Linked DNA regions of Diceros bicornis minor. The protein of the gene in region 2 binds, or shares a complex with, the protein of the main gene of each other region. Links are inferred from orthologs where the notes say so. Each region holds a gene or a part of one and is shown on either strand. Other genes may lie near its edges.

The links. Proteins that work in one complex are often made in the same cells at the same time.
Region 1: INTS7 (region 2) and INTS12 share a complex: the UniProt entries of both Homo sapiens proteins name them as parts of the integrator complex. The link is inferred for Diceros bicornis minor from reciprocal best matches to the Homo sapiens genes INTS7 and INTS12.
Region 3: INTS7 (region 2) and INTS6 share a complex: the UniProt entries of both Homo sapiens proteins name them as parts of the integrator complex. The link is inferred for Diceros bicornis minor from reciprocal best matches to the Homo sapiens genes INTS7 and INTS6.

What each region holds. Positions count from the first base shown.
Region 1 is NC_080750.1:1,890,680-1,898,451, forward strand, and holds the start of INTS12 (integrator complex subunit 12), read right to left. Parts: upstream 3,067-7,772; 5' UTR 2,989-3,066; exon of another isoform or gene 2,976-2,988; intron 2,532-2,975; exon of another isoform or gene 2,459-2,531; intron 2,111-2,458; exon of another isoform or gene 1,290-2,110; intron 1,272-1,289; exon of another isoform or gene 1,091-1,271; intron 1,068-1,090; exon of another isoform or gene 1,049-1,067; intron 1-1,048. Other genes in the region: GSTCD (glutathione S-transferase C-terminal domain-containing protein), read left to right, coding at 3,149-3,280. UniProt on the Homo sapiens protein: Component of the integrator complex, a multiprotein complex that terminates RNA polymerase II (Pol II) transcription in the promoter-proximal region of genes.
Region 2 is NC_080743.1:77,746,398-77,753,478, forward strand, and holds the start of INTS7 (integrator complex subunit 7), read right to left. Parts: upstream 3,081-7,081; 5' UTR 2,934-3,080; coding exon 2,840-2,933; intron 1-2,839. Other genes in the region: DTL (denticleless protein homolog), read left to right, coding at 3,388-3,439. UniProt on the Homo sapiens protein: Component of the integrator complex, a multiprotein complex that terminates RNA polymerase II (Pol II) transcription in the promoter-proximal region of genes.
Region 3 is NC_080748.1:25,855,903-25,863,983, forward strand, and holds the start of INTS6 (integrator complex subunit 6), read left to right. Parts: upstream 1-5,015; 5' UTR 5,016-5,511; coding exon 5,512-5,622; intron 5,623-6,010; coding exon 6,011-6,088; intron 6,089-6,919; coding exon 6,920-7,069; intron 7,070-8,081. UniProt on the Homo sapiens protein: Component of the integrator complex, a multiprotein complex that terminates RNA polymerase II (Pol II) transcription in the promoter-proximal region of genes.

The sequences.
Region 1 (7,772 bases), on a different chromosome or scaffold from region 2:
TCCATCCTGTCTTTTTTGTTTTATAGCAAAACTTCCTCAGAAAGTCATCTACATTTTATACTCTTTCTTCATTCCTTCTACTTATGCCGCATTTCCTTTGTCCCATCATTCCATGAAAATGCTCTCACCAGAGTATTCACAGCCCAGTGGTAAATGTAATAAATACTATTTTCTCCTCCTACTTCTTTTTTAGCCTTCTTTGCAGGTTCCTCCTATTCCACTTAAACAAAAATGAGTTCCTCAGGGTCAGGCTCTGAGTCTCCTCCTGCCTCACTCTACACCTTCTCAAAATGCGTCCTCTGGATCAGCATCAGACGCACTACCTGGGAACCTGTTAGAAATGCAAACTCGTGGTCTCCACTGCCAGACCTACTGAAGGAAACACTCTGGGAGTGGGGCCCAGAAATCCACATCAAACCTTCCCGGTGATTCTGGTCCACTCTAAAGGTTGAGAATTACCGCTCTAGACAATATGATCTACACCCTTTTGCCAGTGATTATAAATTTCTCTCTCCAGCCCATGCCTCTCTTCCAAGACCTGACTGCCAGCCTGACTTGGATACCTCACTGAGGTGGGTGCCTCCTCTGAACACGGCCCTAACAGAGCCTCACAAGCTCCTCTCGTCTCCCAACGAGTTCCTCCTCTAGGACACCCTTTCTCAAGTGATACTTACCCCCTCCCTCCAGCCAGCTTTAACTCCTCCCACTTCCTCACCACCCCATTCAATCACCAGATTTCTTAAATATATCTCAAATTCACCTACCCTTTCAATCCTTACTACTATCCCCACCCTAGACAGAGCTACCATCATCCACCTATCCTCTGGCCACTGTAATAGCTTCACCAGGCTCCCCACAACCACCCTGTTCCCTCCAAATCTCCTCATATCACTCTCCCGCTTAGAACACTCTTCACTCCTCACTGTCCAAAGGTGAAGAATAAGACTCTGAACACCGTCTCTGACGCCTACATCGTCTGGTAACACACGTACAGCAGTGACGACAGTACCCGGCACAGAGTACACACGCACTAAACGTCACCCAGTACCTCAGGCCATCCCCACTTCTCTGCTGAGGCCACACGAGTCACTTCAAGTCCTTCGACATATCACACTCTTTCTCACACCAGCACTTCAGTAGAGAGTGTCCCATAACCCATCGTGTTCATCCTTCAAGTCTCATCTTCTGCACATTCCCCTGACAAAATACAAAGTTTAACTGTTACATGGTCCCCAAATATCTGGTCCTTATTCATAATAGTTAGCACACTGTGTGCCTGTCTTTCTCACCAGAACACAATTCTGTGAGGGCCAGCACGGGGCTGGTCTCACCGACCACGGTGTGTGTGTGTCCAGCAGAGTGCCCGGGAGGCAGCAGGGACTCAGTAAATGCTGGCCAGCTGAATACACATTACCCACGTCCTCTTCCAAAAAGCCTCCTCCTCCTGGGGTTCTATTACGCTGACTCCGCTTTCCTCCTGTTCCTCTGGCTCATCGTCTCTCCGATTCTTGGCACTGCCTACGTATCTGTCCGTGTCTGTCTCCTTTAGTTCTGCTACCAGCTTCTTCCTTGGCAATCTAACGGATGCACATTTTCAACCACCACCTCTAGGGAAGGACTTCAAGTCTGTCCGCACTCCAGTCTCTCTCAAGCGCGAATCCCGCATTCCCACCTGCTTAGTAGATAGCCTACTTGGTTGTCCTAAAGCCATCTCAAGTTCAGGTACGATTAACATTGAGATTATGAGAGTCTCCCCCTATCTCCTTGTCGGGCACTTGCTTTAACGAATGACAAGTCTGTTAAGCAGGTCTGAGGCCTAGATCTGTCCCTCACGGAGTCGCCCCACTCCTCACACACAAACCCGCAGCAGGCCTTTCCCGGGGCGCGGACTCCACAACATCTGCCACGGGTGCCTCTGCTTCTCACTTCACCGCTAGACTCAAACTCAGGTCTTTACTAGCTTTTGTGTACTACAGCAATAATCGAGTTATCCTCCTTGACCTCAACACTGCTGCCACGTTAATGTTCCTGAAACGCACTTCTTTTTCATTTTCTTCCTCAAAAATTAAGGCTTCCCAATGCCTTCAACGCAAAACCCAACGTGTGTGTGTGTGTGTGTGTGTGTGTGTGAGGAAGACCGGCCCCGCGCCGACGCCCGGGCCACCCCCCTCCACCGTGCGGGGACGCCGCGCCGGCACCCGCACCCGCGGAGCGCGGGGACCCCGAACCAGCGGGCCTCGGGCCCGCCCTGCAACCCACCGTCCCGACCCCGCATTCAGAAGACCTGCTAGCAGGCGCAGAAGCTTGAACTCTCCGTCCCCAGACCCTGCGGGCAGCAGAGCCGCTAGCCGGCCCTGCCCCTTCCACCCGCTTCTCCGTTTGGGGAGCGCTGGCGTCCGCGCCCTCCCGCGAGCCCGCGCCGACGCGCGCCCCCTCGGAGGAGCTCCCCCGACCCCACCCCAGCCCCTGCTTTGCACGGGGTTTCTCACGGCGACGCCTGAGTGCCTTAAGGGAGGCGTCCCTCTCCCGCTTTCGGCCAGCGCTCCGACGCGGCCCGAGGACGGCGGCCCTCGTGCCGCACAGCGCCGGCGGCTTCCCCGCCGCCCCGCAAGCACACGCGGGCAGACTCCAGCCGTCCCCGCCCGCCGCTCCGTTAGCGCGGCCTCAAGGGAGCGGAAGCCAGAGCAGCGCAGACGGCGCCGCCTCCGCGCGGCCCCTCTTCCGGCCCCGCGGCCCGCCCGCCCTCGGAGCGCCGGCTGCGGGAACTCGGCGCCGGGGGCCCGGCGGCTCCGAGCCCGAGCCGGGCGTGCACGCGGGCCCCGCCGCCCGCGCCCGGGACGCAGGAGCGCACCGGCCCCGCGCCCGGCCCTCCGCCTCGAGAGCCCGGGCCCCCAGCCCGGCCACGCGCCCTCCCGCCCGCGAGGGCTCCTTCCGGGAGCGCGGGCCTCGGACGGCGGCCGGTCCCGGAGCCGCGAGCCCCTCACTCACCGCCCCGCCGCCGCCCGCGCTCCCCGCGGCCCCTGCCGACCCGGGCCCGCCCCGCCGCCCCACAGCGGGCGGACCGAGGTTCCCACGGCCGGCCGAGGGGGAGCGCTTTGGGTGCGCGACGGCGGAAGTGACGCCGCCCTCTGCTTCCGGTCCGCTGCGTATGAATGACGGCCGGCGCGCCGGCTCCCGTGTGGCCCGGCGTGTCTCCCGTGGCCTGGCCGGCGGCGAGCGGCCTGGGGGCCGAGACCCGAGGGGGCGTCGGAGGCCCCTTCGCGCCACGCCGCTGCGACCGGTAAGGAGGGCGCCGGGCCGCGGGCGTCTGCGGCGGTCGGGCGTGCGGTCTCCTCCCCCTCTGCGGCGGGCGCGCGGTCCGGGGCCTCTGCCGACGGGGCGGGCGGCTCGGGGGTCGCCGCGCCCCCCGCCCCGAGGCTCCGTGCCCGCCCGACGGCCTCAGGCTCTGCGCGGAGCTGGTTTGAGTTGAGCTTGCGTGGACGCTGCTCGGGCTTCTCAGCCGTCGCTGACTCAGGTGCTTCCCGCCCAGCCTGTCCGCGTGGGGTAGGGACTGCCCTTTTGTTGATGGCGGGGTCCCGTTCCCCGCCCGGAGTTCCCGACTGTCGGGGACATGCCGGCACCTGAGAAGAGGTCTGGCGCTGAATTATTGATAAAGAAGCCGAGTACTTCTGCTTTTCTAAGCTTTTCTATAGAAACTGTGTTTAAGGGGGGAGATGCAAACGCTGCCAAGAACTAGAGATGTGACTATTTTAAACATGTAATCACGGTTATTTAAGATGGTGAAAATAATTTTGTTATAAATGCAGCTGAGCGATTTGCTGTCATATTTAATAAATGAAATACTAAGCTATGTGAGGTTTTTTTTTAACCCCTGGTAGGGAGTATACACTACTGAGGGAATTGTCTCAAGCATACTCATTATTTGAAATTATGTTTGAGTTACATCTGAAGGCATCATTTTAAGAAGTCTAACTTCAACAATAAGTCGGTGAAAAAAAATCAGATTTAAGAATTGGTTTATCAGTTCTTCTGTTCTTTTTACACTTCTACTCCGCTTGCCTGCTTAAATGCTTTAAGCAGAGCTCAAACTTGAACTTCAGTAGCAGTGGACCCATCAAGGTTGCTTTTTTTAAAAACCTGTGTTTACTTTGTAGCTTTTGTATCGCCTGTGACTTGACATAAGAATAAATACAGAGTATCCAGTTGGCCTAACAGCAACAGTTTAGCAGACCCTGAAACTTAACAAATTCTGAGGCCAATTAAAACATCTGTGGTCTGCACAGTTCCTTAGCATGTGTTGTTTTTACCTTCACGTAGTCAGAGTAGCCTACTGAATTCAGTTACCATTAGTACTTGGAATGTGGGATTAAACCATTGAGATCCTCACAAGCTGTTGTTTGCCGTGGGCTTCAGTACTCCTATTTCAGCTAGCTGGTGTTGCTGGCAGTAGCATGTCCTGCTGTGGCTCCCTGTCAATTATGAGGTCAGGCTGAGCTGCAAGCATCATGATTCCATGGCAACAGAGGATTCCCTGATTCTCCAGAGAGAAGATGGCACACTTGCCTTATGGCTAAGGTTACTGTAAGCTTTTTTACTTTTAAACTTTTTTTTTTTTCCACTTCTTGCCCAGATAAGAAAACAGCTCATTTTAATCATAGGATTTTGTCCTCTAGGACTTAACTATATGTGTATCCCCATATTATATAATGTAATGAACACTGAAACAGCTCAGTTTTTTCTTTCCTTTTTTAATCTTTAATATCTAAGGTAATTAGCTGCTGTCTAACTCTAGGGGAAGCATTTTTTTTTAAAAATCTATGTTATTGTAAGAAAATAGGATGAGACTTGCAACCAAATAGTGTTATTTTGTGAAATGTATAAAACACAAGCTAAGTTCTACTATTTACAGTGTTGAACATTTGATGTAGTAGGGAATTTAAATAAGTTTAAATTTACATTTTAATCTTTAAGAAAAATGAGTTTGTAATTTTTTTCATACTTGTAAAGTATTGAACTACTTTGTACAATATAAGCAGTTAATATGCATGTGGACTTAGTGTATCATATTTATATTCTACTATTTTGTGACTCCCTGGCTTTCAGCCTCAGTAACAAACAGATTTTTTCAATATTTGTAGGGAAACCTTTTCAATTCAACATGAATCTCTTACCTTTCCTGAGAAGTTTGGAAATATAAACATAATTTGAGGCTTGCCCATCAAAATTTGTGTTTTTTAATAGTGTCAATTTTTGGAATAGATTATAAATGAAAAATGTTAGCTAGTATTTGTTTCGGGTCTTGCTAACGTGGTAGGCATTGTTCACTTCTCATGACACACTATATGGTAGGCATTGTTCACTTCTCATGACACACTATATGGTAAATACTGTTATTATTGTCTCCATTTTATAAATGACATAGCTAAGACAGAAAAGTTTTATATTGCTACTAAATATCAGAACCAGGACTTGGACCATTAGTGAGCTCCAGAGTATAGGCTCCTATCCATTACTTTGTGTTTCTTGGTGTATAAATATTCTACTTGCTAAGTAAGTGTGTAGAATCTAGTTTGGTTCCCAGTTCTCTTGTCTGAATATCAATACACATAAAAACATCTATGCTTGCTTTACTTACGTGTTTGGGTGGATTCTAGGTATACTTTTCCAGTTCAGCTCACAGAGGTGGTCTTGTTTCTTCGTTTAATTTATACGTAGTTGGCTCTTAGAGTAGATTTATTCATTTGGAAGAGAGAGTGGTGTCAAGAAGAATGAGGCTCGTGTTGTACCAAGACAAAGTTCTCAGTGGTATTCTCATTACAGTGATTACTGTTACTCATTTATGTACTTTCATTATTCATTCCTTGAATGAAAATTCGAGTCCTGTTAAGCATTGGAGATATAATGTCAGGTGGTAAGTGCTATAAAGTAAAAGAAAGCAAGATAAGGGGCAAGGGGGTGATGGGAGTGCTCTTTCAATTCAGGTTGTCAGGAGAGGCTGCTCTAAGTTAATATTCACAGACCGCAGTGAAGTAAAGGAGCAAGCCATGTGAATATCTTGCAGGCAGAGGGAACAGCAAGCACAAAAATTCTCAAGTGGAAGTGTTCCTGGCATCCTCCAAGAACAGCACAGAGAACTGGCTGGGAGAGGGGTGAGCAAGAGGGAGGAGGGGTGGGAGATCAGGTCAGAAAAGAAGGATAGCGAGGAGCACATCAGGCCCCATAGGCCGTGATAGGAAATTTGGATTTTATTCTAAGTGTGCTTGGAAGCAATTGAATGGTTGTGAGCAGAGGATGTGATCTGATTTGTGTTTTTATTTATTTTTATTTTTTATTTTTGGTATGTGTGAGGAAGATCGTCCCTGAGCTAACATCTGTGCCAGTCTTCCTCTATTTTGTATATGGGACCGCTGCCATGGCATGGATTGATGACTGGTGTCTAGGTCCGCGCCCAGGATCTGAACCCACGAATCCCGGGCCACTGAAGTGGAGTCCACGAGCTTAACCCCTGCGCCACTGGGCCAGCCCCTGGTTTATGTTTTTAAAGGAGCACTGTGACCATTGTTGGATAATGGACTGTTGTGTGGAGGGTGGAGGAAAATAGTTAATAGGCTTTTGCAGTAGTCTTTATAAGAGCTGATGATGACCTGAATTAAGGTGATAGTGGTAGAGGTGCTAAGAAGTTGGATTTCGCATATATCTCAAAGGTAGAAATAGTAGATTATGAGAGAGAAAAAGGAGTTGAGTGAGACTTCAGAGCTGCAGGCCCGAGAATCTGGGTGAAGGGCGTTGCCATTTTACGTGACCACTCAGGGAAGAGGAACAGGTTTAGAAAAATGCCCAAGTGGAGATGTCACGTAGGACATAGGTGTCCTGAAGCTCAGGGGAAAGGGTGTAGCTGAGATGACCAGAGGAGTCGTGGGTGACATTTAAACCCACGGCATTGGAGATCAGCTAGAACAGTGCTGTTAAATGGTGAGTTGTGGCCCTTTAACGGGTCATCAAATCAATCTAGTGAGTACTAACCAGCAGTAAAAAGTAAGAAGAAGAAAGAAGCACAAAGTAAAAAGTATCAGATAAATTCATGTAGTAGGATATTCCTTTGTGATTCTTTTGTTTCAGTTTTATTCAGTGTATAATGAGTTGCATTGTAAAATTTATTTCTTATTATGAGGCATGAGCAGAAGTTTGAAAGCCAGTAATCCAAGGAGTGAGTGTAGATTGAGAATAGGGCAAAGCACTGAGCCACAGGTCACTGAGAGGTCCAGGGAGGATCCAATAAAGGGAATCAGGAAAGAACTTAATCCAGTGCTGAGAACTGTCGAATAGCCTCACTTTTATTTATTTTTTATTTTTTTAAGACTAGTTCTTTTTTTTTTTTTTTTTTTTGTGAGGAAGATCAGCCCTGAGCTAACATCCGTGCTAATCCTCCTCTTTTTGCTGAGGAAGACCAGCTCTGAGCTAACATCTATTGCCAATCCTCCTCCTTTTTTTTTCCCCAAAGCCCCAGTAGATAGCTGTACGTCATAGTTGCACATCCTTCTAGTTGTGAATAGCCCCACTTTTAGAACTGAGGTTTTTATCAAGGATTACTGAGACCAGCACAATTGCTTAGAAAAACATAGTTTCTGATGATTTTTACTTTGGTGAAATTGTTGTTGCAATGTAACTGCAATATGCTTCAATTTATGAAATTCTAAGTTTATAGAATAGTGCTATTTATATTAGAAAAATACCAATTTCTGAATGTTTTCAAATAAGATCCCTTTATAGAT
Region 2 (7,081 bases):
CATCTCTGCTGAAAACCCTCCATGGTTTCCCATTTCATTCAGAATTCAAGTCAGTCTCTTCAACGGCTTGCATTGCCCTACAGGAACTGGCCTCTGATTATCTTTCTACCTTCATTGTCAATCACTCTGCTCAAGGTACAGCAAGCAAAGCAGGCTCCTATCTCAAGGCCTTTCTTTGCATTTGCTGTTCCTTTATTTGATCAGTGAGGCCTTTCCTGACTATCCTATATAAAATTAACAAACCAATTCCAACCCCATACCCAGTTTTCTCCAGCTCCCTTCACTTGTTTCTGTTTTCTTTATAATATGTATCACTATCTGTCACAATACATGCTTACTATATTTGTTTATTGTCTGTTTTCTCTGTCCAGAATATAAACTCAATAAGGGGAGCGGCTTTGTTTTGTTTCATTGCTGTTTCCCTAGCACAAAGCCTGATCAAATAAGTGATGTATGTGAGTGTGAGTGTCTGAGTGTCTGTATGTTGTCAGGAGAGGGAGGGAGAGAGAGAAGAAAAGGGCGAGAGGATACGGAGGAAGAAACTCCTATTAAAATACTTCAGAAATAGTATTTCTTGGGGTGCACTTTCTGAAACTGGTCTATAAGTTTTGGAACTAAAAGAAAGCTGGAATCTGTAGCCTTCTGACCCTCTGAACTTTGGCTCACAAAACAGAAATACTTTAACAGCTAAAGGATGAAATGACTCAATATTTAAAATACTAAACTATATTCTAATGAAACTGGCTATTTCTATAATCTAATCTCTTAACAGATTTAAAAGGTATAGCATGCTGAGGTGAAAAAGAACAAAAGTTTTGCTCTCGTCGTGTCCAATCTATCCTTCTGAGACTCATCTGAAAAATACTCACCAGGGCATTGCTGAGAAGACTGAACAATATATCACTTCCTTAGTATCTAGGACTGACACCTGGTTTACAGTTAAACGCTCAATAGCCATCCATTTATTTCTTATAGATCTGAAATATATCTATTTCAACTTTTAAGAATGAAAAATTGTGATGTATTTTTTTCTTACCATAATTGCAAATGTTTAGGAATTAAACAATTCTAGATTTCTAATACGGAGTCCCATTGTGATCTCTGTTCTACAAGCACTGTTTTACTGTCATTATGAGACGAGCCCACCAAGGTGGTAGAAAATGTCTTAGAATTGGTAAGGATATTACATATCAGGACCTGCAACTCTCACTGGGGAATAAGGAAGGAATTATCAGAATGGGAAGGAAAAGATTACGAAGTGTTAAAAAAACACATTTAAAGTCACAATTTTATATTTCAGAGGGAAAAAATCCTATAGCTTTGGCAAGAGAAAGCAAAGCTCAACATCATTTTCTTGGCGGATGGGGATGCGCTAAAGATACTGTGATTCAACCAAACGATTATATCACTGGAGTGTTGTGACACTTTCATGTTGATCAAAAGGAGTTAAAAGCTTTTTAAAAAGTCTGAGAGGGGCCGGGCCAGTGGCGCAAGCGGTTGGGTGCGCGCGCTCCGCTGCGGCGGCCCGGGGTTCGCTGGTTCGGATCCCGGGCGCGCACAGACGCACTGCTTGGTAAGCCATGCTGTGGCGGCGTCCCATATAAAGTGGAGGAAGATGGGCACGGATGTTAGCCCAGGGCCGTCTTCCTCAGCAAAAAAAGAGGAGGATTGGCGGATGTTAGCTCAGGGCTGATCTCCTCACAAAAAAAAAAAAAAAAAAAGTCTGAGAAACCTTTATCTAGACCAACCCACTAGATATGTTTACAGGTTAAAAAACAAACCAACAAATCCAAAAAACAGAGTCCCAAAAAAGTTACTAGAACGTCCAAGTCAGAGAGCTGGGGAGTTGCTCAAAGTGGACTTAAAGAAAGATCCTTCTAACCCCTAATCCAGTTCTCAATACATTATACACCGGCTATGGTTAATCAAGAATTAACTGTATACCAGGTGACAAAATGCTTCCCGCGTTCAATAAAAACCACTGAAGTACACTGAAACAAAGGCTTCATTTTAATACTTGAGTTCTTTACTGACAAATATCTGCCCTTGCTTCCCATATCCATATCCTAGAAAGAAGGCATATCTCTTTAGACTTAATAAAGGCTTCTTTTGCGTATCATTATATCACTTAATATTTACAACAATCTGGTCAGCTCAATGATACTGTACCCACTTTGCAGACAAAAAACTGAGGTTAAGTGAAGTTAAGTAACCTGCCCAAGACCATAAAATTAGCAGAACTGGAATTCAACTCAGTCTAACTCCAAAGCTTCTTCAACCACACCAAGCTGCCCTCCAGCACCACCCCCGCCCCGCCCCCGTAAGGAAACAGAACTCGTGAAATTTGTCTGCAGAGGAGGAGCAGGGGCTATGCTTTTCCGAGGGTCTTGGCCGTATTTAATCCGCCTAGTAACCAGCAGGTAACAGAGGTACAGAAATCAAATGAATCGCTGTTATCAGTGCAAGATTATTATTTAGCACTCTTGGTTACGAGTTGGTCTCAACTGAACGTACTGAAAAATAATTTCACAGTTTCAATTTAGGATTTTTAGAAACTGCTTGGAAAATCGGGGAACTGTGCCCTCAGGCGGTCAAAACGGGCCCACCACTGGAGCTCGCTACTTGTTCAGCTGGTGCAAGGCCAACCCAGCAACGCCGCAACTCTCCTGCTATCTCCTGAAGCAGCAAAAGCGCTGGACTCACCAAAAGCACAGGCAGCCGGCCCCGCCCAGGGAGGCTATGCGCATGCGCCTTCCCGGCCTCTCCCGAGGCTACCACCGCCTGGTGGCGCCACTTCCCCCACGCCCGTTTCACCCGCTCAGCCCGCTCTTTCGAATACCTTTGTCTAATTCCATAAGGGCAGAGTTAGCATCCAGCTCCTGTTCGCCATAGCCGGCATCTGCCAAGAAAGACTTAGTTGAGTTTGACGCCATGACCCGACTAGTTACTCGACTAGTCTATTCAGAGAGATTGCAAACTCTGCCCCAGCACCGCCATCTTCTTCCACCACCTTCTCGCGGATTTTTCCTCCGCGCTCTGTCAAGCCGTGTTACGCATGCGCCCTGGTCACCCTGCCGTTCGCCACCTCCTCTGCGGCCCCCTGCGCAGGCGCTCAGGGAGCTCGTGAACTCTAGGTTCCCGCGGCTGGGAGAAAAGAAGGCGGGGATTCGAAGGGGGAAGTGACTTGGAGGCGCCCGGACGCCGCGGCGGGAGCCAATCAGAGGGCGTGACGTCAGTTTGGCGGGGAGTTTGGTGGCCGGGGCTTACAGTGGCGGGAGTTGGAGGCAATAACTAATCGTGTTGTGAGCAGCGCAAGCTACGCTTTCTGCCGAACCTGGGGGCATCTCCACGGCTTTTCCCTCACTTGAGCCTGCTCTTCCGGCCCAGATGCTCTTCAATTCGGTGCTCCGCCAGCCCCAGTTTGGCGTCCCGAAAAATGGTGAGTAACGGCCATAACTGCTGCTTGTTGCTGGCGGGATTCGCCTCCCCCGAAACAACACCTCGGACCAAGGCCGATTCCGCTTCTGTTTCCCAGCCCCGGTGGCCGTTCTCCCACGGCCAGAATGAGTTCGTGTTAGCGAGAACTACTGACGAAAGCTGCACTTATATGCCCTAGGGACACTTTTAATCGTAATCGGGATTTTTTTAATCGTAATGTAGGCTGACGGAGGGAGGGAAGTTGAACTAACTGGCCTCCTTTACGGCGTAGATCTGTGTTGCACATTAACTGGAAAACGCATGCGTTTTTGTAGGTTTGTGGTTCTCTCAACAGCCATGTGAGATCGTCAAGACTCGTACTCATTGATTAATTCATTCCTTTGTCGTAGAATCTTAGTGAGCCCTACTATTTGCTATATACAGCAGTGAATAGGATCCGCTCGCTGCTAAGGAACTCAGTCAAGCAGAGAACACAAGCTTCTAGCATGGTCAAAATTTTTTCCCCCTGTTTACTACATGGGCATAAAAATTGGAAATTAAAGAGTGGAAAATACCCATAACCACATCCCCCAGAGAGGACCACTGTTAATAGACTGGAGTGTATTATACCAAATGTTTTTCAATGCCAAAGGTAATATGTATCGTTATTTACAGAAATGGGATCAAAATGGTTTTGTTTTGTTTTTCACTTTAATGGTATAACTTGGAAATATTTCCTTGTTAGTATGTAGAAATCTAACTTATTCTCTACAGTTCTTGAGGTTCCTTAGGTTAAAGCATTGGCAATAGGAGTTTTAAGCTTAGGTTTGGGTGTCATCAACCTGAAACGTTTTAAGTTTCTGGTAAGGGAGTTACTACACAGGCCAGCATGGATAGAAATGAAATCTCATTCATTTAAAGATGGACTAGGTCTTCTTTCCCCTTGAAACCATGTGGAAAACATAAAGAAAAGAATCTGAGAAGGGAACTTTTTATGTTTAAGCCATAGGTCTAGGGAAAGGATATTGAGGAGACTGAGGAGTAGTCCCTCACCTTCCTGCCCCCAGTCTAAAACTTTATGCTTTCCTTACCTGCTTCCCTCTTAGATAACCTTTTAAATTATATTCTAAATGTCCCTCTTTCTGTCTCTCCTGGGACCTTGCTTGAGTAACTTGTCTATCCTCTGTGTCATGAGTGGCAGTGCCATGTACGGTGGTTAAGAGCTCTGTCTTTGGAGTTAAACTGCCTAAGTTTTAATTCCAGCTCCACTCCTTACTGTGTGACCCAGGGCAAACTATTTAGCTTCTGTTTTGTGACAGATTTTCTCCTAATTCTCCAATCTGTCTGTCTACTTCTTCCCCTCTCTCGTTCCTTTACAAAAACTCATTCATTGTTATGAACTAGGCACTGAAATTCTTTCATTCTTATAAATTATGCACTGAACTTTGTAGGACTTTCTTCTCCTTTCCCCTTTGGTGTTGGTGTTCCATCCTAGGCCCCTTTTCTTTTTTTTTTTTTTTTAAGATTTTATTTATTTATTTTTTCCCCCAAAGCCCCAGTAGATAGTCGTATGTCATAGCTGCACATCCTTCCAGTTGCTGTATGTGGGACTCAGCCTCAGGATGGACGGAGAAGTGGTGCCTCGTTGCGCGCCCGGGATCCGAACCTGGGCCGCCAGCATCGGAGCGCGCACTTAACCACCAAGCCACGGGGCCGGCCCCTAGGCCCCTTTTCTCTTCTACCTACTCCCACGGATGATCATAGCCGTAACCAGGGCTTCTTCCACTGCTACCTGCAACCTTGCCTTCCCTATACTTTATGTCCATTCCTATAAAAGCTGGATGAGTATCTTCACCCAGATGGTCAGTCCCACAAGCATTTCAAACTCACGTACCCAAAACCGAACTCACTTTTCCCCCAAACCTGCTATGTTACCTACTTTAGGAAGTGGTCCCATTATTTTAAACTAGTTTCCCCAGCCAGAAACCCGAGAGTCAATCAAAATTCCTCCATTTTCCTCAAGATACACATTCAGAAAGTTCCATTAAAATCTTTTGAATCCATCCTCCTCTCTGTTCCCACTGATTTTGCCTCTTCATCGTATCTTGGATCTGTTCTATGCTTACCATTCTATTTCCCTAAGTTGGGGCCTAATACCTTCTTGTCTGGATTATAACAAGTCTCCCAAATGGCCTCTTAGTTTCTTTTTCTCCAGGTTATTCTCCATATTGCTGCCAATGATCTTTCTAAAATGGAAATCTGATTACTCTTCTGTGTATTTTTAAATTGGCTTTTAAAAGTTTTTATCATAAGTTTAAACAGATGCAAAGGATATTATTTCTGGCCATATTGTGAATATTGGCATTTTAAAATAAAAATGCTACATCATTCTTTAAAATGTATCTAATAGAATATAAATACTATAGTGATTTGATAATCACATGAATCATTTTTTTTAAATATAAACAAACTCTTTGCTAGATATTGTACATACTTGCTTTTTCCCCGTGAATTTATACCACTTTATTTCTCCCATAGAATTTATCCTAAGGTAATTTGATTTTAAATTACCTTGAAAAGTTATTTTATTGATCACTCTATCATACTCCTCTGTGTAAAAAAATGTATTTAAATTGAAATTTTCTGTAATTATAAGGCTCCAAATTGAAATTTTCTGTGATCGTAAGGCTCCAAGTGTTAAAAAGTTTCTTCTGGATTAAATTATTACAATTATTAGTATGCAATTGATAAAAGCAACTTAGGTTACTAATTTTGATAAATAATTATTAAGCAAAGTAAAATTTTATTGGAAGTATATCTTTTAAAGAGATGAAATTGGGTGTTTATAATCCCTTTATTAAAGGAATTATCCAGTTATCTCTTAGTTGGGGTCTCAGAAGTTTTCATACCTTGGGTGAATGCAAGGTGTAAGATTGGGGTATGGAAATGCCTTTCTTTTGAAAACTGGAAGAAAGGCAGTGATGAAGAGAAAGGGGAAAAGAGAGCCTCAGCCACAGATCAATTTTAGAAATGCATATATATGGAAGTTGAGTATCCAGAAATTGATTCTTTGAGAACTCGCTTGCCTTCGGATACTCCCTGAAAAATCTGCATGTAACCCCAGGGGCTTAATCTGTACAATGAGGAAAGAATAGGCTTTTCCAAAAGAGTATTGTAGGGGGAAAGCATTACAGGTTCTTGGTGGAAAGAGCATAGCACAATAAGGATCCAAAAGTAGCTTAAGGGGCTGGTCCATGAAGTGTGTGTTGTGGGCAGTGCAGAAATGGAGGGGTAGTTAGGAACTCATTACTAAGCCACATTAGGCCATTTGTTGGTGGTGGGATGTTAGTCTGTAGGCAATGAGGCAGAAATGAGGGGGTCACTGTTTAATTGTAAAGAATTAGGTATCCTGAGCATGTGATCTTCAGTTCCACCTAAATTGTTCAAGATTCAGTCCCTTTGAATTCCTGTGTTGCAGTCGTTAACTTTAAAACAGAGACTTTGTTTTTCAAATCGTTCTGTAGATGGATGTTTGTGAACTCTACAACATAACTAATTGTATTCTTTTAATGGTCTTTAGTGGCTTGTTTACAGTGATATCTGACCTAGAGGTAATACCCCGAGGAATAATTACTAAATCTGAATTGAATTTCTTTGCCTCCTT
Region 3 (8,081 bases), on a different chromosome or scaffold from region 2:
GACAATAGTGGAGAATTCTCTTAAAACATGTTGCACCACTAATGCTCCTGGTTGGTAGAATTCAGTATAGTGTGGAAAAATTCCAACTGATAAGAAAGCATTGTCATAGTTTAATTAGCAGCATTTTTTCCCTTTCAGTGGTCCAAAAATAACGGCATTTCTTAGAACCCGTGGTGTCTCAGAATTGATGAAATATGGTATGTTACCTCGCATTTTCAAAACAATCCTCTAAGACAGGTCTTAGTATATCATGCCCGGGGGCTGCTGACTTATCATAATACTAGTGTATTCTCACTATCTGTTTATCTGTCTTCTGCCTTTCCACTAGATTATAAACTGTCTATGGCCTACCATAGTGCCTGTTACATAGTAGGTATGCAATTAATATTAATTGAAAGAATTACTGCAATGTTCATATTCTTTTACTAGAGAAAATGTTCCACTATAATTCTAATTCTCAATTTGGATATGTCCATTTTCAGGACTGATCTTGAATCTTCTGAGACTTCAGCTATTTCTGTGAAATACTGTTCGTTGGAAAGGTCTAATTTATCTTTTTTTTCCCCCCAAAGCCCCAGTAGACAGTTGTATGCCATAGTTGCACATCCTTCTAGTTGCTGTATGTGGGACACGGCCTCAGCATGGCCGGAGAAGTGGTGCATTGGTGTGCGCCCGGGATCCGAACCCGGGCCGCCAGTAGTGGAGCGCGAGCACTTAACCGCTAAGCCACGGGGCCAGCCCTGATTTCTTTATAATAGTGGTCTCTAGCAGCATTTTTTTCTGAGGATTGACACTATTTAATATTAGGATGACCAAAATTAAATTTCCTTATATATGTACTATCTGAATACATTCTGCTGCATAATTTCACATCTAACTTTTTATGCTTATTGCTTCATGTTTTTTTGATGTTCTCAACCTCAACATCATTGACTATTGTGATCTCAAAGAGTAAAGCAGAGAGCTGGGAAAATGGTAAGACAGTCAAAAGAAACTTTGTTAGGTTACACATGAGGGAACACTAGGTTGATCTGACTATTCTGTTCAGATAGCGCATGCAGAGACCATAAGCCAAGTCATTGGCACATAATCATTTTTAAACCGTGTTGCCCTGCTTAATTGGTTTAAAATAATTTAAAAGGGCTCTGGTTGGCTCCTACAAATGAATCTAATTCATCAGTTCTTAATTCTGTTAGAATAGCTCCATTTCAACAATTTAGCCTATTGTTTAAGCCAGAGTCACCATTCTTTCAGAAGGTTTCCTATAATTTATTCCTTCCCTTTTAAATTGGGGGCATAGCATTTGGGCAGCATTTTTTTAAAAACAGCAGCAAAGAGCAAGTTTTCCCCCACATACCTCTTCTGATCATTGCCCTCCCAGGAGAATCTTTCCTAAGCCACTAGACTGCAACAGGACAGGGTTAGCCCACAATACTCCTACTACGTCTCCCTCGAGCACTGCAGGAGCTCAGTTTCTTCAGCTGAGTCTGATGAAATAGTTGGCTTGCAAGTTTTAGAAAAATAAGCCTGAATATAACCAGAATCTTTCTAGAATCACATTCTGGAATCACAGAGATTGAGTGAAGAAGAGATTCATGTTTCACATCTTATGCTTACTCCAAGGCCTAAGCTCACTGACGGGAACAGTGGGAATCTCTGGCACTGTTTACTTCTTTTTATTTTTTGGTCAAGAATTTAAGCAATTTAAATACGCTTATGAATCAAATCTACTGTTATCTATATTGCTGTCACATTTATAGTTTTTTTTTTCCTTTAATTTGCAGATTTGTTTTAGGAGTTCTTTTAAGAAATGTAATAACTCTAAGAGGGTGTGAATTTTTAAAGTTATTTAGTGAGTACTATTAGATGCTAGGCACATACATTATTCTTATACTTTAAGCATATAGTTCTTAATGATTATTTATAAGATTCACTTGAAGAGCTTTTTAAAGCATGAGATGACCAGGGCCCATCCCAATTCTACCGAATCACTTTCCTCCAGGTATGGGGATTTGGTATATTTATTACTATTTTTAAGTTCTGTGGGTAATATTGATGTGCATCTCCTGGCCCAGAACTACTGCTTTAAGCTATCATCAAACCAACAGCTTAACTGTCAACCAGAGTCACTAAGAATAACCTTGGCCTATTTCACAATTCTGTCTAGGGACCACTCATCAATGCTTCCTGGTTTCTGATTGCCTCTTGATTTGCCCCCTGTGTACATCCTGATTTCTTTCCTGTTCTGCCTCGGGGCTTTGGCTTCCAGCACTTCTGGGCTTCTGAACTGGAAACCTGGCCTTTGATCTTAGGTGGTTATATGCTCTAGGTTGGCTCATTGGACTTGGCTCTCCTGATCTCTGCATCTAATCCTGGCTCTACCAGACCCTAGTATGACAATCTGCCAATTCCCCTGAGTCAGGGAAGAAAAAGCCATGATGGCTCCATTGGAAATGATTTCAAATAACTGTAATAGGTAAGGTCATTGTTAATGCATGCTCACCTACTTCAGTAGTCTAGTTTGATTTCCTTTAAACACTACTTTGTACTCAGCGCCTCAACTAAAACTCTAGTTTATATGGAAAAATATCCTTAACCTGGAATAAAAGCCCTGTACTATCTAGACTTGACCTACTTTCTGGATCTTATACTATTCTTTGTGTACCAGGTGCGCCAGCCCAGCTGAACTTCCCTGTACCCCAGGAAGCATTGGCAATGCTGTGCTTTCATTCTTCACTACATTTTCAATGTCTAGGACTTTTTCATGAGCAACTTCCTCTTTCTTTACCCACATATTCAAATCCTACCAATCCTTTAAAGCAGTGTTTCTCAAATCTGAATAATGTAAAAGAAATTCTTATGATTTTAGAGATTACATTTTCCGACAGGCATAGGTCCATAGAACACAATTTGAAAAGCACTGATACAGAAAACTGAAGACCAATTATATGAAAATTTCTTTCAGATGTGAATTATCACTTTGAAAGAAAAATTTTGTCCTTATAACTGGTAAAGTGATTTGTATATTGTCATTAAAATGAAAACAAAAATTTTAGAGTATCAAAGAACTGATTCTTATCTCTAGGTCTAGGATCTCAGTTTGAGAAACACTGCTTTAACGCACCGCTTAAACACACTGACCCTGGAAACTTGTTCTTTCGTCACCCCAGGGTAATAAATTTTTCTCTTTTCTAAATTATTTACTATCTGATCACTTTCTGCCTTGTAGTAGCTAATAATTGACGTGTAATATTTTTCTAGAAAAACCATAAGCTCTTTGAAGGCAGGGACCATATTTTCATAATTTTTTAACTCCACCAGTCCTCAGCAAATATTGGATGTAAGACCTGTAGTTCATCTTATTTCTAGTCCAAATCTCTTAAAAACATCTCCTTCTTCTATGGTACATACAAAACAGCATATTACTGAAATAGCCCTACTATAAATTAACAAAAACTTCATAGGTTGTCTTAAATATTAGTAAAAGTCCAAGTTATGAAACTCCAGATTTTAAAAAAGTGCCACAAACCATGTCTCTTCTGTGTTAACGTCAAAAGGACCAATTTCTTTAAATGATCGGTAGGCAAATAACTAAAAATTTCAGGATAAAGAATATAAAAATCGAAATGCAAGGCTAGTAGAAGAGGTCCTATAAAAATCTACCTGGTCTTATAAGGGTTGTATGTCCTTAATTCAACTTGCATTTCAGGCAGTCTTCAGTCTTTCAAAGAGTATATTTGAGGAAACCGTTTTCTCTGACATTTAGGAGAGAGGATTCATTACCCCAGGCATGATGATAGGGGCTTGCTTCAATAACCGAGAACGTTTTCCCTCATACAGTATTTGGAACGACTCCGAGAGACACCATACAGTGAAAGGAAAGTGCACCGGCACGGTTATGGGGAACACTCTGTGTTACCTGGGCAAACTGAAGTCAGTTTTTTCATTTTAAAATAAGAGTAATGGATTATGACTGGCTTAGGTCCCTTTTAGCTCTGAAATTGATATTCTATGGCCCTAGGTAAACATGGCTTGAGAAAGGTATTCCTTTGGGTAACACCGGTTAATTTTCCCTGAGAATAACAAGGGTACAAACTGTTTATCGATATTTGAGGCTTCCCCCAGACTCTTTTAGGGCTGTTAGGAAGGGGGTTTGTACCCTTTTTGGAGGGTCCTCCAACGAGGGGGGCTTCTGCCCTGCTCCAGCTCCAGCCCTTACCCTTGGTCGCTCCCCCAGGGCCAAGCAAGACTGCGGGCGAGGTACGCCTCTGGTCCCCACTCCCCAGCGGGAGCGGTGTGACTCTCGGAGATTAGTCCCTGGTTATAAACAACCTCTCACTTCCCCTCCCCCGCCCCGGGCCCGCCCGCACTGGGGCCGGCCCTCCGAGGCCCAAGGAAACTCCTCCCGATGCCGTGGGCTCGCAGCCCTTCCCGGGAGGGCGACCGCGGCCCTGCCCCCTTCTCCTAACTGGGTGTTTGATCACGTCACTCATCCCCTTCTCAGTCGCCCACCGGGGAAAGGGTTCGCTTCAGCGACGTCGGAAGGAGAGCTGAGGCCAGCCTCCATTTCCCTTCCGCCGACCCCTATCACCTCCAACAGCCAAGGCGAGGGCGGCCGCCTTGACGCGCAGACTCACAGCCGCGGCCACCCTGCGCGCGCCGACGCGGCCCCCGCCCCCACCCCGCGGTGCTTCCGCGGTCCGTCCCCGCCCCTTCCCGGAGCCCGCCTCCGTGTCTCCCGGCCCGCCTGCTAGCCCCTCGCGCTCCCTCTCGCGCGCACCCGACGCCCCGCCTCCGCGCGTGCTCAATAACTGTTCCCGGAGCCGGCCCACAAGCTTCCCCCGCCCCTGAGCTGTTTGAATATGCTAATAAGAGGCTGGGGACTGCCCAATAGAATAGCGGGGCGGTACGTCACATGGCTCAAGGACGTGTCAGGGGGCGGAGCCTCTGCAGCCCCTGCCCGAGTTAAAACCGGAGTGTGAGAGAGAAAAGCGCTTCAGTAGCGAGAGGGGCTGAGAAAGTGGTGACACCGCCGGGGTGCGGAGGGAGTCCCTGAAACTTCTCCCAACAGCCCCAGGGCCAATCTCCCCTCAGCCCACTCCCCTCTTCGCCAGCTCCCAGGTCCCCACTCCCTGCACCGGGGGTGGGGTGGGGAGCCAGGCCCGTCTCCCGCTGGGACACACACAGGGGCCGGGAGCGGGGACGGGACCCCCGAGGCGGGGGGGACGGACCGACAGACAGACGGCCGGGCGCCCGCCCCAGCGGGCAGGCAGGCAGGAGGAGGCGGAGGCGGGGGTACGACGGGGAGGACTGGGTCTGGGGAGTTTCCTCTCAACTATCGGGGGAGAAACTCCCCGCAGCCGGAGGAAAGACCCAGACGGTGTTTTCCTCCCGGGGGCCGCGCTCCCCCGCCCCGCGTAGCGGCGGTCGCCGCCGCCGCCACCGGCGCCTCCACCTCTACCATCTCCTCTTGCTCCACCACCTCGGGCCCCGGTGTCCCCGGCCAGCACTATGCCCATCTTACTGTTCCTGATAGACACGTCTGCCTCTATGAACCAGCGCAGCCATCTGGGCACCACCTACCTGGACACGGCCAAAGGCGCGGTAGAGACCTTCATGAAGGTACCGACTGACCGAGCCCGGGCGGCGACCCCGGCCCGGCAGCCGCGGGCGGCAGGGGTGGGGGGAGGGAGGCCGGGGGCGGCGAGGCGGAGGTGTCGGGGACCTGACTGCGGGAGCCGCCGGGCTCGGGGACCCCCTCCCCCACCGCGCGGGCGGGCGGGCGGGCGCTGCGAGCCGGGCTCGGCCCGGGCCCGGGCTCCGGCCCCGGGCGGTGTGTGGGGGCCGATCTGTGTGCGGGGGGCGGCGCGGAGGGGTGGCCGCTGCGTGTGCGGTACTGTGGGGGGCGGTGGGGCCGCTGGGCGCCCCTTCTCCGCCTCGTAACCTCGCCTCTCTGCTTCCCTCTCGCCCGCCCTGTTCCTCCTCCCGTCCCCCACCCGCTCTCCCGCAGCTCCGTGCCCGGGACCCTGCCAGCCGAGGAGACAGGTATATGCTGGTCACTTTCGAAGAGCCGCCCTATGCTATCAAGGTAACAGCCCTCGCCCTCCCCCTTCCTTCCCTTGCCTGTTCCTTCCTCGCTCGCCCTCCCCGCCCCCCCATTCACCCTTCATTATGCTCCCCTCCCCCACCCGCTGTGCTCCAGGCGCTGAGGTCTTTTCCCCTGCGGGCGCCCACTCCCTCCCCTCGCTCCGGAGCGTCCTGGCGCGGCGCAGAGTCGCCGGGCCACCGCCGTCCCCTCCCCAGCCCGACCCGGCGGCGGCGGCGGTGGCGGCGGCGGCGGCGCTGCGATCAACATGGCCGACATTTCCCCTCCGCGGCGTGAGCGGCAGCAATGAACTGTGGGGGATATTTATTCAAGTTAGCCCGAGTGACAGCCGGGCCCGGCCGCGCCGAGCCCCGGTTTGCATTAAAGGGGCATCGGCCCGAGGCTTGGCCGCGCTCGCCAGGCTGGCGGGCCGGCGAGCGGGGTGGGGGGCTGCGCGGCTTGGTCTTCGGATTCGTGCTGAGAGGGCCGCGGGGCCGGTGGGACAGCTGTAGGTTAACTTCCGAAGTCCTGCTCACTTCTGCTTTCCACTAGTACCTTTGCATCCCCAGATTTTGGGTATTAGGTTAGGGAGTGAATTTCCCAGGGAAGCTCTAAAGTGTTAAGGTTGTTCGCTACCAGAAACTGTAGAGCCAGCAGGTTTATTCTTGGCCACTTTTGGAAGAGAGTTCCCTCAGCAGCGATCCGGTATTGACACGTTAACCAAACCATACTGTAAAGTGAAGCAGCTACCTGGTGAACGGCAGATTGTAACGCCTGTCCTTGTACACAGGACTCTAAAAGATGAAAAAAAAATTCTTACATTTTTCTTTTCAGGCCGGATGGAAAGAAAACCATGCAACGTTTATGAATGAACTGAAAAACCTTCAGGCTGAAGGACTTACGACTCTTGGCCAATCCCTAAGGACAGCTTTTGATTTATTAAATTTAAATAGATTAGTAACTGGCATAGACAACTATGGGCAGGTAGGTTGAATATTAAGGTGGAAAAACAGTTGATTTTTCTTTTTGTGGAAAAACACAGTCCGGCCCCAAAACTATATAACATGAAATACAAGTATAACACGTTTCAGATTAAAACAGAATGTGCACATAATGCAAAAGTGAAACCCTGACCATGCTATATGTGGTTTTATAGCCCTCATGTTTTAAAAATGTATTTGTATTCAGAATTAGAATCTGGATTCTTTGATATAAAGTTGACATGAATTTGGTTTTAATCCCTTCAAGTTCACTCAGGACGTAAAAGGGAAAACATCCTACCTCACCACACTCAGTTTCTCTGATACTCTACCCACAGGCAATTGTGCAACTATTGCAGTGACTTGCATACACTAGTTGATTAGTGGTCTTCATTTCTATATTAGTATAAAATAGAGAAATGTTAGAAGAAATTATTCTATTTGTTGTGTCAGGGTTTAATTTAACCATATTGTATAACTACTCAGAGGTGAGAAATTTTCACTGGAGTGCAATAACTGGTTGAGTACATTAAGATTTCTCAGCTTTTGAAGCATATACAGTAAGCAACTATACAGGAAGAATTCTTAATTCATTCCTGAATTAAATGGCAGGTCCAGAGTGCAGTACTTGCTTTCATTTATTATGAGACAAGGGCTTTGAATCACATGATGGTTCACTATAGAATAATGCAAGGTGGTCCATTAAAACTTTTTTTGAGATTACTGACCTGGAAAATAAAAGATACTGAAGAATGCGTATTGTTAACACAAAACAAAGGAATATTAAACCCAAGGAGTTCAGTTTTTATGTTGTACAAAGCACTATTACCACAATGATACATTTAGGTATACATTTTGTTCTTTTCCCAAGTTGCACGAGGCACAATTTTCATGACTTTCACAAGTTTCAGGGAAATTCTTCCCATGACTACAACTTTTGGTTGCTTTATATGGACAGAAACAGAATTGTTCCCTTGTTTTAGAAATGTTTAAACGTTTTACTTCTTAGGGGTAAC